Tribolium castaneum: one gene and its partners. The protein of the gene in region 1 purifies or fractionates together with the protein of each later gene. This does not show direct contact. Links are inferred from orthologs where the notes say so. Each region holds a gene or a part of one and is shown in the gene's direction. Other genes may lie near its edges.

Region 1 (3,091 bases):
TATTTAATAATAATAATGAATTCATTCAGCTCTCACAAATCGTGATTTTACACTCTGCTAGATTTTAACCATTGATGTCAATTTCTTGTTAATTCATTACGTAATGAGCACCAATAACGAGCGGTAAAAAAGGTCGCTTACCAATAAGCGTGCACAATTGCAATTTTTTATGCACCCGTGAAAATCACTTTCAAATAATTATTACTGAAAAAATGTTCTAAATGTGACCTCAATTACATTTGCATTTGGATTGTTTTTATTTTAATAAACACCAAAATCGCTCCTAGTTGCTAAATGAAGAAGTCTCCGAGGAATAATTGGAGTGGTTGTGTCTTTGTATGGCATGTTTTAATTGATTAATTTACATTCTTATGGTCCAGTTTGGTGATTTGCTTTCATAAAAAGCTGCAACTATGACAATTAGCTGCGGAGATTAGGAAGAGAAGCGAATTTTGTGCGTTAGTTGAGACAAATCAGGGGGCGTTTGGTGTGGATTAAAGCGTAGGCTAAAATGGGAATAAATCGGTGTAAAGATTAGGCATAGCATCTGTCATAGTGTATGGGATACAGTGCTTCAGGCGCTAGTAGAGCTATGTGCCAAATTACAATCAAATGTCTCACTCGCACGGCATTCCAGTCATACATTCTTTGGCATTGTGCGTGACATCTAATCTGTTACTGTCTAACACCAATTCATCTCATCAAGGATAAATTTATTTAAACAACCTAGCCAACAATTACCTTTTATTCTTCTAAAACAAATGGAATCTGCTGCAAGAACTGACAGATTTTGAAGTGTCAATTGTCAATCTATCTCATTCTATGTGGAGGAATTTATGAACACTTAACACATTATTTCCATCATAGGGCTTCTACACTACGCTACGTCGCACGCACCACACAATAAACTTTTAATTACATTCAACTGTACGGTTATTTAAAGCTAAATCACTTTTTAAGGCACTTAAATCTGTAATGAAAACAAAGACAATTTACCAAGATTCAGATACCAGCCATCTTACACAGTGTCAAATTCCAGAATCTGCCAACCTTAGAAAACTATTTATTTAGAACTAAATGCCATTGCTTTAGCTCACGAATCGTGTCTGCACCCAGACAATTACTTGGAAATTATAAAACATCCCATTTTTTCCAGCTGAGTATTTATTAATGCCTTGTTTCGTCCATTTTTAGTTGAAAATAATGTGACGCCTAGTTCCCTCCGTTTTCTCAATTTGGCAGCTATGCGCGCTGCTTGCGACAATGGAGATAGCGTTTGTTCCATAAGCGTATCAAAGGTGTTCAAATTAGAAATTATTATTTCTTTTGTGAGCTTTTTTTTAGATCTAATATAAATGATTTGAAAAGTAAAATGCTAACTTAAATTGTGCTAAAGTTACATAATTTAAACATCTGCCCAGATGCAAAATAAACATGCATGGTATTTGATAGTTTCAGTCTCTACGCCCCTGATTTAAAATATTTACAGATTTAAAAATCAAAAAAAAGGTCATAATAGGCGTTTTATCTTTGTCTTTCTCCGTCAATCTGTCTTTGTTTCAGCAATGTGACCGAGTATGTGTGGAATAGAAAAATAAAAATTATGATATAACACAATTTTTATGAAATAAACAAGTATCCTTAAATAATTAAAACTGGATACGTGAGGTCCTTCTTCAATTTTCGTCAACTGTCACATCAAGAAGTTTTAGAATTGAGGTTACACCTAACCTCAACTCAATTTTTAAGCCGAAAATGGGAAAAGTCATGTCTTTAATGGGTCGTCCTTTTCGGACTTTTAACATCGAGAGTAGAGCACACAAAATTATATCCAAAGATAAGCCAACTCCAGCTCCCAAACACAAAAGTGATCAACTAGATTATGAAAGATTAATGAGAGGTGAGTTTGTTTATTCGAAAGGGCTTGAGTAATGTAATATTCTTGAAGAGTATCCTGAAGAATTTAGGGAAGGCCAGAAAAAACACCAACAGTTGGATAACTACTTAAAAGATGTTTATGTGACCTCACATGACCCTGTAAGTAAATTAAAAAAAAAAACGTCAAATTTGCAAATATTTTTTTAGAATCCGGTGCAAGAACAGAAAATAAACCCCAACAGACCTCTTCCTCTTAACAGGCAACAAGTTGAGGATTTTGAATATGGGGTTAAAGAACCTGAAAAAATTCCAGAAGGGAGGGCCTCACTAAAACAAGTCCTTAAGTTTGTGACAGACCACCAACACGATCGTAGACTACATAGTGTTGAAGCTATTTCTAAGGAGTATAAATTACCCGAAGAAATAACAAGTAATTTTCCATTGTTTTAAGCCAATATAGCCAATGATCTGTTGCAGAAAATGTTTTAAAATATTATAAAGTTTTTGAAGTCTATATTCCTGAACAAAGAAGAGTTAAAGCCAAGTTTGCTGGGCCTAGTGTACCCAGAATTAGAGTCATGCCAAAACTTAGAAAACAACTGTTACCTGGGAAAGAAGACAAGGGGGATACCTGACAATGTAACTGAAATTTAGTTCAATTTAAATAGTTTATTTATAGCAAAAAAAAATAAAAAACTTAAAAGTAGTTACGCTACTTTATCCATCTCCAAATTGTTCCGTATAGGGTCCTCCTTCACCCATCGGAATTGGGGATGAAACATTTTTTATCAAATCCGCAAAGGAATATATCGCGAAGATTATGATTAAGGGGATTAAAAAGTGTCGGATTTTAGTCATTTTTTCAGTGTTTTACAGCCGTTTTAAGTAATATTTTTTGAAACATATTTATAGGATATATCCTTCTACTCGAGCTTTAAGGGAGAAAGTCTAAAAATACAGTCATTTAACCAAAATTTGTAAAACAAGCGCTAATATGTGTAAATTCACAAGGTTTTGCGTATAGCTCGCTGTTTAAAACAATTTTTGTAAAGCTATTATAAATGTAATGTAGTTAATAACTAATGGCATGAATAACAAAGGGAAGAAGCACATCTCCACATGCAAACCGTAGTGATTTTACCCATAACAGATTTAAAAACAAAGAAAGGGAATACTATTTGCCAAAAATTTGTAGCAAATCTTACAGACACAC
Region 2 (3,195 bases), on another chromosome or scaffold:
TTAATTTAGCTCGTTTATTTCAGTTAAGCGAATGGAAAACTTTAACAAACCATGCGTTTACGTACAAAGTTATGGCTTTGACGTTTCCTGTGAAGGACGCAGAGGAGTGGAAGAGGCTTTTTAAGCCTTGTGCAGCCCAGAGATTATTTCTACCTGTTGTCCTCTACTCAATATTTTCCACATTTTATGAAATTATTTTTTAGAATATTTTAAAAGACGTAGATTCCTTATTGTACATGGATACAGATACGTTGTTTTTGACGCCAGTCGAGAACATTTGGAGCTATTTCCACAAGATGAATTCTAGTCAGATGGCTGCGTTGGCCCCAGAACATGAGGACCCAAACGTTGGGTGGTACAACCGTTTTGCCAAACACCCATTTTACGGAAAATTGGGTACAATTGTGTGACTTTTTTGCACTTTGTAATCCCCAATTTCAGGCGTAAATTCCGGCGTGATGTTAATGAATTTGACCAGAATGAGGGCGTTCCAGTGGAGTGAGTACGTAGTCCCCATTTATAGAAAATACAAATTGAAGATAACGTGGGGCGACCAGGACATAATCAATATAATTTTCCACTACCACCCTGGTATATGACCATTTTTGGTGCGATTTTATAAAATTGTGATTCGTTTTAGGGAAATTGTATTTATATTCGTGTAGGTTTAATTTCCGACCTGACCACTGCATGTACATGAGTGTTTGTAAGCCGGCGGAAAAGTTCGGAGTGGCTGTGGTCCATGGTTCTCGCGGGTTTTTCCACTCAGAGAAACAGCCGGTTTTTCAAGCAATTTATAGAGCTTTTGAAGAGGTTGTTACTACCGATTACAGGAATCTGTAATTGAAAACGCAGTTTTAGTTCCGTCTAGGGGGTGATGTATTCAAGGATTTTTACCAACCGCTTGAAGCCTTTTTGGAACAAGTTCAGAACACGAACTGTGGCCATATTAAAGACATTTTTCTCAAAAACGTGCGACTTTACATTAACATGGAAGACACCAGTTAGTAAGCCAGAGTTTGTTAATGCAACGAAGCTGTCCATCAATGCAGGATATTTTATTTACAAGTGGAGTTTATACTTTTATAAGCTGAATAAATAATTATTGAGCCCTCCACTTGAATTTTCTGGTGATTAGATCTCTCACTGAAAGTATAAATTACATTAGCTATTTTTTTGAAGTGCGTGAATAATTTATAACATAATTTTGAAAGAAAATGAAACGTTATCGTTTTCCTAGTTCTGAAACAGCTAATAGAAATATTTGCATTTACCTGAGAAAAACTAAAAATTCTTTAAAATCTTCGTCTCCTGAATTGATCAACAATAAATAATATCCGTAGAACACAAAGTAAAAACGGTTATTAACACTATAAACGTCGTTAATCCTAAATCTTTAGCACAAAACCAAAAATAAGTTGGACCATTTTTAAATTTTGTTTAAACCAAGATTGGGATGGCGATTTTTTTAGGTTGGTGCACCTGTTTACGCCTTTTTTATGTAGGGAATTTGAAGGTTATGTAACCTAACCTATTTTTTTTTGAAAAATGTTGCGAAAAGTGTTAAAGCCCACAACGTTGTGTGCTCTTTGGCCGCTTGATTTTCTCAATGACAATGATAAGTTGAGGCAAGACACTCCCACCGAGCAAAAAGTTGATTTATCAACTTTGCCGGAAGAGACAGGTTGGGACCGTCTGAAGCGGGTTTTTGAGGCCGAGTCGGTACGAAACCATTGGGCTCCATGTAGTTAATTGTTCAATTGTAGTGACTTTGGTGAGGTCAGCAAGGAATTACTCACTGTTTTACACGTCGGGGGCATGAGTTTGTTCGTGGGGGGCATTTACGGGGGCGTTGTGCACAGTAGGGTGGCCTATGTGAATTTTATGAAGAACAACCAAGCCACGGCTTTTACTGATCATCTCGAGGCCAAGGTATGGCGGCTCTGGCTGTTTTTAAGCGAATTAATTTTGTCCAGTGCAGAAAAAATTGCAAGATGCGGTTACGAAAAGTTTCGGGAAGGGGGCCTGGATGTGGTCGTGGAGGCTTGCCTCGTTCACGATGTCTTTTACGTAAGGAAGATTGGATTGTTGTTGGTATTTTTCCTTGTTATTTATTAGGGCAATTTCAACTGGAATTTCTGTATACCGGGGGAAATCGGGAATTCTGGAATACGTTGTTGCGGGGTTATTTAGTGGTACCTTGTATAAGTGGAATATGGGTCCGAGGGGCTGGGTAGTCGGGGGCGGATTAGGTATTTTCTCAACTAGCCAAGCCTTGGTTAATTTATTTTTGATCCAGGGGCAGTGTTGGGTTTAATAGCAGGCGGTGCCACTTTAGGTTTGTTAAGTTTGACAGGGATGTCGATGGATGAGGTCAGGTACTGGCAGTACCACTGGCAACGAGAGCGGCAAAACTACACAAATAAGGGTATAGCTGAGTACCTTGCCAAGGAAGAAGATGAAGTTGTCCAGCACCACAATAAGAGAGTCGGAAATTCGGGAAAAACATTAGAAAATGTGGCCGAGTAATTGTGATAACTGTATTCATGTAACACGAAAGCGACTGATAGTTAATACTACTTAATGATTTATACAATGAGCTTCAAATACAAAAATATTTGTTTGAAAAAGCTAGTTGAGCGCATGTTAACCGAATAAATAATTTATATAAAGCATACAACCGCCGTTTCAATTGTCCACGTTTTGAGACTTTGTCATTCGTTTTGGTCCTCGGTTTGGTGGCCCTTTCGGTTTGGCAAATTTCGGACGGTGCAAATTTTTTGTTGGGTGTATCTCCTCGTACAGGAACTCTTCGGTCAACTCAGACCCTGAATCAATTTCCAACTGAAATTTTTCCGTTATCAGATGAGTAAAATACTACGAGCGGAACAACAAATTGAACATTTTCTATTCTGTTTCTACTTCGTTAATTACTTATCAACATCAAATTTTTATTAATACTGCTAAAATAATTGTTTATTCAAAAGATTTTTCTCTTCTCATAATAGATCAAGAAAACAATGGAAATTTTTAAAACTAGGGACTTTGTCACAGATCATGAAGAAAACTAAAAGCACTTCGAGTATAAACCGGATGAAGAAATAACATCTAGTAATGGTTATCGTGTTTTTTATTTTATTTGCTTTAAGTTTTTTGTTCGAAAAATAACAATTTTTCTGCAATACAACTCTGTGT
Region 3 (2,343 bases), on another chromosome or scaffold:
ACGATACGATCATCACGCTCTTCCAATCGCGAGCTGTCGGACTAAAAACCAACACAACAAATTGTTCATTTGCAATTCATAGATGATAAAGATGCGTTTCAACCGAGCGGCGATTTGCAAAACTTCGAAAACGAGTGGCTGGAAGTCGAGGTCAAGTCAGCCCTAAACTGGGGGCTGTCGGACGTAACCAACGGGGTGGAAGTACCCAACATGTACTGCGACCGGAAATACGGTGTCCCCCACTTCCTGTGCGAGGACATCAACGTTGAATACGCCGAGAACGAGAGTATTATCCCACCAATCAATATTTAAACAATTTTCCAATAAATTTTTCAGGCACCATTTACAAAAGAATGCGTTTGGAGACTGACGTCGCTGGTAAAAGCGACCGCGTGGAGTGGGGCCACGTCCGCTACCAAACGACTTTCATGCCGGACCAAGCCTACGAATTAATTGTCGAATGGCTGACATCATCGGGTTCTATTGTTGCCGAACTGGTAATCAATTTAAAATTAAAATGAACCGACTAATTTCGCTCCGCAGCTGTCCAGTTGGCACCGGAAAGCCCAAACTTGCGGCCTGCAAATGATCCCGATCCCGCACGACCCCCTCGCCTTACCCTATTCTAACAAAAGCGACCCCTTAAGAGGCCCTATTTTTGTACCCCTTAACATAAAATGCCTCGAGGAACGGGACACAATTTTCAAAGAATTCAAAGACGGGTCGTCGCTCGAACGCCTATTTTTGCTGCAAGAGACGATCATACAAAGATTCGGGTTTATTAACTGCATGCTGGAGCCGCCTATTAACCCTGAGGCCACTTCGCGTGAACACCAATACGTTCATTGCACCGGAACTGTTTTTATTCTGATTTCGCGGCCTGCCTTAAAGCCCAGGAGCAGGGTCCCCTCAGTTGGGAGCAAACCTAGGTCCACTGGGCGGTTCTCGGTGCACGCGGACGTTGTGCCCAGCCCCCATGAAGCCTACATCACGCGGCACGTCAGTGGGAAAAATAAGGACGATTATGATAATTCCAGAAAGGTAATTAGCGCCGATTCGTTTCCTTTTACCAATAATTTGATTTAGATGGGTTTTTTATGGTCTTGGAACCACATGGTCAGTCGCAGGTGGCGCACAAACCAAGGTGTTGATAACAACTTCCAGACCAAACTTCTGAAGGACTTTAGAGAGTTTTGCGCGAATGTTGACGACAGATTGAGGAACTTCTGGGAGGAGAGTTGGGTTACCAAAGAAAATGCTTCTACAAATTTTAGTTTAGACAATTATATGCGGAAATAATTTTATCGTGTAAAATAAATTTAAACTTCGTAGCAGTTAATTGTGTTGGCGACACTGTCGTGTCCATAACCTCACAAAAACATTACGTAAAGAAAAACAAGTCAAAACTATGTCGGGGGTTTTGAAGCAGACGACGGGGCTCACGGGGCTGGCCGTTTCGAAGAACCCTCACCACACTTTGGGTGTGTTGTACGGCAAAATCCTGCGAACCTTGCAGAAGATGCCCCAGGAGGCAGCATACAGGAAATACACCGAGGAGATAGTCAACGAGAGGGCGCAGGCCCTGAAGCAGAATACGACAGTCGAGGGGATTGAGAGACAAGTGGGTTGTGGGCAAGTCGAGGAACTTATAGTCCAAGCTGAGAATGAACTGATCCTGGCTCGCAAAATGTTGACCTGGAAGCCTTGGGAGCCCCTTCTGAAGGAGGCCCCCGCGAACCAGTGGGCCTGGCCACCGGCGAAGCCGCCAAAAACGTGTTAGAAAATTGTTGTACAGCTTAGAAAATTAGAAATAAATAAATAAACCCTAGTGTCTTTTTCCTTTGTTAGGGACTTTCGCGAAAAATTACCATAAAGCGCCATCTGTCGGCGAGCCGTGCGCCGGAAAGCGGATGTGGGTCCGAGATTATCAAGTAGGTTTCGTAGCTACATTTCCTTTGTTTTGCATTGAATATGGCTGCCATATTTAGTTTAGATGTCTGTTTTCAAAAGCGTATCAGAATTTGTGATAAATTCTACATAAAATTATAGCGAATTAACGTTGTGTTTGTCGAATAAGACGGTGGGATGTGTTAGAAGTTCAATGGACGTTTAAAAAATTGCTGCCGTGTTGTTTTTAAGTTAAAATGCTTGTGTTTACATCGACTGTCCTGGACTTGTGTACGATTTATGGCAATTTAAGGTAATTTTACGCCGTTTTAACCCTTGCTTCGTACTCACCACCGCACAGGGGGGCCTCCAGTTCCGTCCTGTGCCCAAATGGGGCGAGTTTTCGCCGGTTTCGATTCATTATGTCGCCGAAAACGATGTGATACGTTTTGGGCA

Evidence for each region.
Region 2: the proteins of protein NDUFAF4 homolog (region 1) and 140up purify together in Homo sapiens (affinity purification with mass spectrometry; 3 studies listed by BioGRID and IntAct, with this or other methods). This does not show direct contact. The link is inferred for Tribolium castaneum from reciprocal best matches to the Homo sapiens genes NDUFAF4 and TIMMDC1.
Region 3: the proteins of protein NDUFAF4 homolog (region 1) and ND-13B purify together in Homo sapiens (co-immunoprecipitation; 3 studies listed by BioGRID and IntAct, with this or other methods). This does not show direct contact. The link is inferred for Tribolium castaneum from reciprocal best matches to the Homo sapiens genes NDUFAF4 and NDUFA5.

The regions. Positions count from the first base shown.
Region 1 is NC_087397.1:10,570,117-10,573,207, forward strand, and holds protein NDUFAF4 homolog, read left to right. Parts: upstream 1-1,521; 5' UTR 1,522-1,755; coding exon 1,756-1,900; intron 1,901-1,948; coding exon 1,949-2,037; intron 2,038-2,085; coding exon 2,086-2,308; intron 2,309-2,355; coding exon 2,356-2,513; 3' UTR 2,514-2,584; downstream 2,585-3,091. UniProt on the Homo sapiens protein: Involved in the assembly of mitochondrial NADH:ubiquinone oxidoreductase complex (complex I). May be involved in cell proliferation and survival of hormone-dependent tumor cells. May be a regulator of breast tumor cell invasion.
Region 2 is NC_087395.1:15,888,340-15,891,534, forward strand, and holds 140up (RPII140-upstream gene protein), read left to right. Parts: upstream 1-1,483; 5' UTR 1,484-1,548; coding exon 1,549-1,718; intron 1,719-1,766; coding exon 1,767-1,932; intron 1,933-1,981; coding exon 1,982-2,070; intron 2,071-2,118; coding exon 2,119-2,252; intron 2,253-2,299; coding exon 2,300-2,529; 3' UTR 2,530-2,680; downstream 2,681-3,195. Other genes in the region: glucoside xylosyltransferase 2, read left to right, coding at 24-155, 204-396, 442-591, 641-813, 862-1,008; twf (twinfilin), read right to left, coding at 2,689-2,844.
Region 3 is NC_087395.1:17,351,305-17,353,647, reverse strand, and holds ND-13B (NADH dehydrogenase [ubiquinone] 1 alpha subcomplex subunit 5), read left to right. Parts: upstream 1-1,338; 5' UTR 1,339-1,408; coding exon 1,409-1,780; 3' UTR 1,781-1,828; downstream 1,829-2,343. Other genes in the region: GATOR complex protein Iml1, read left to right, coding at 83-286, 337-497, 544-1,041, 1,087-1,299. UniProt on the Homo sapiens protein: Accessory subunit of the mitochondrial membrane respiratory chain NADH dehydrogenase (Complex I), that is believed not to be involved in catalysis. Complex I functions in the transfer of electrons from NADH to the respiratory chain.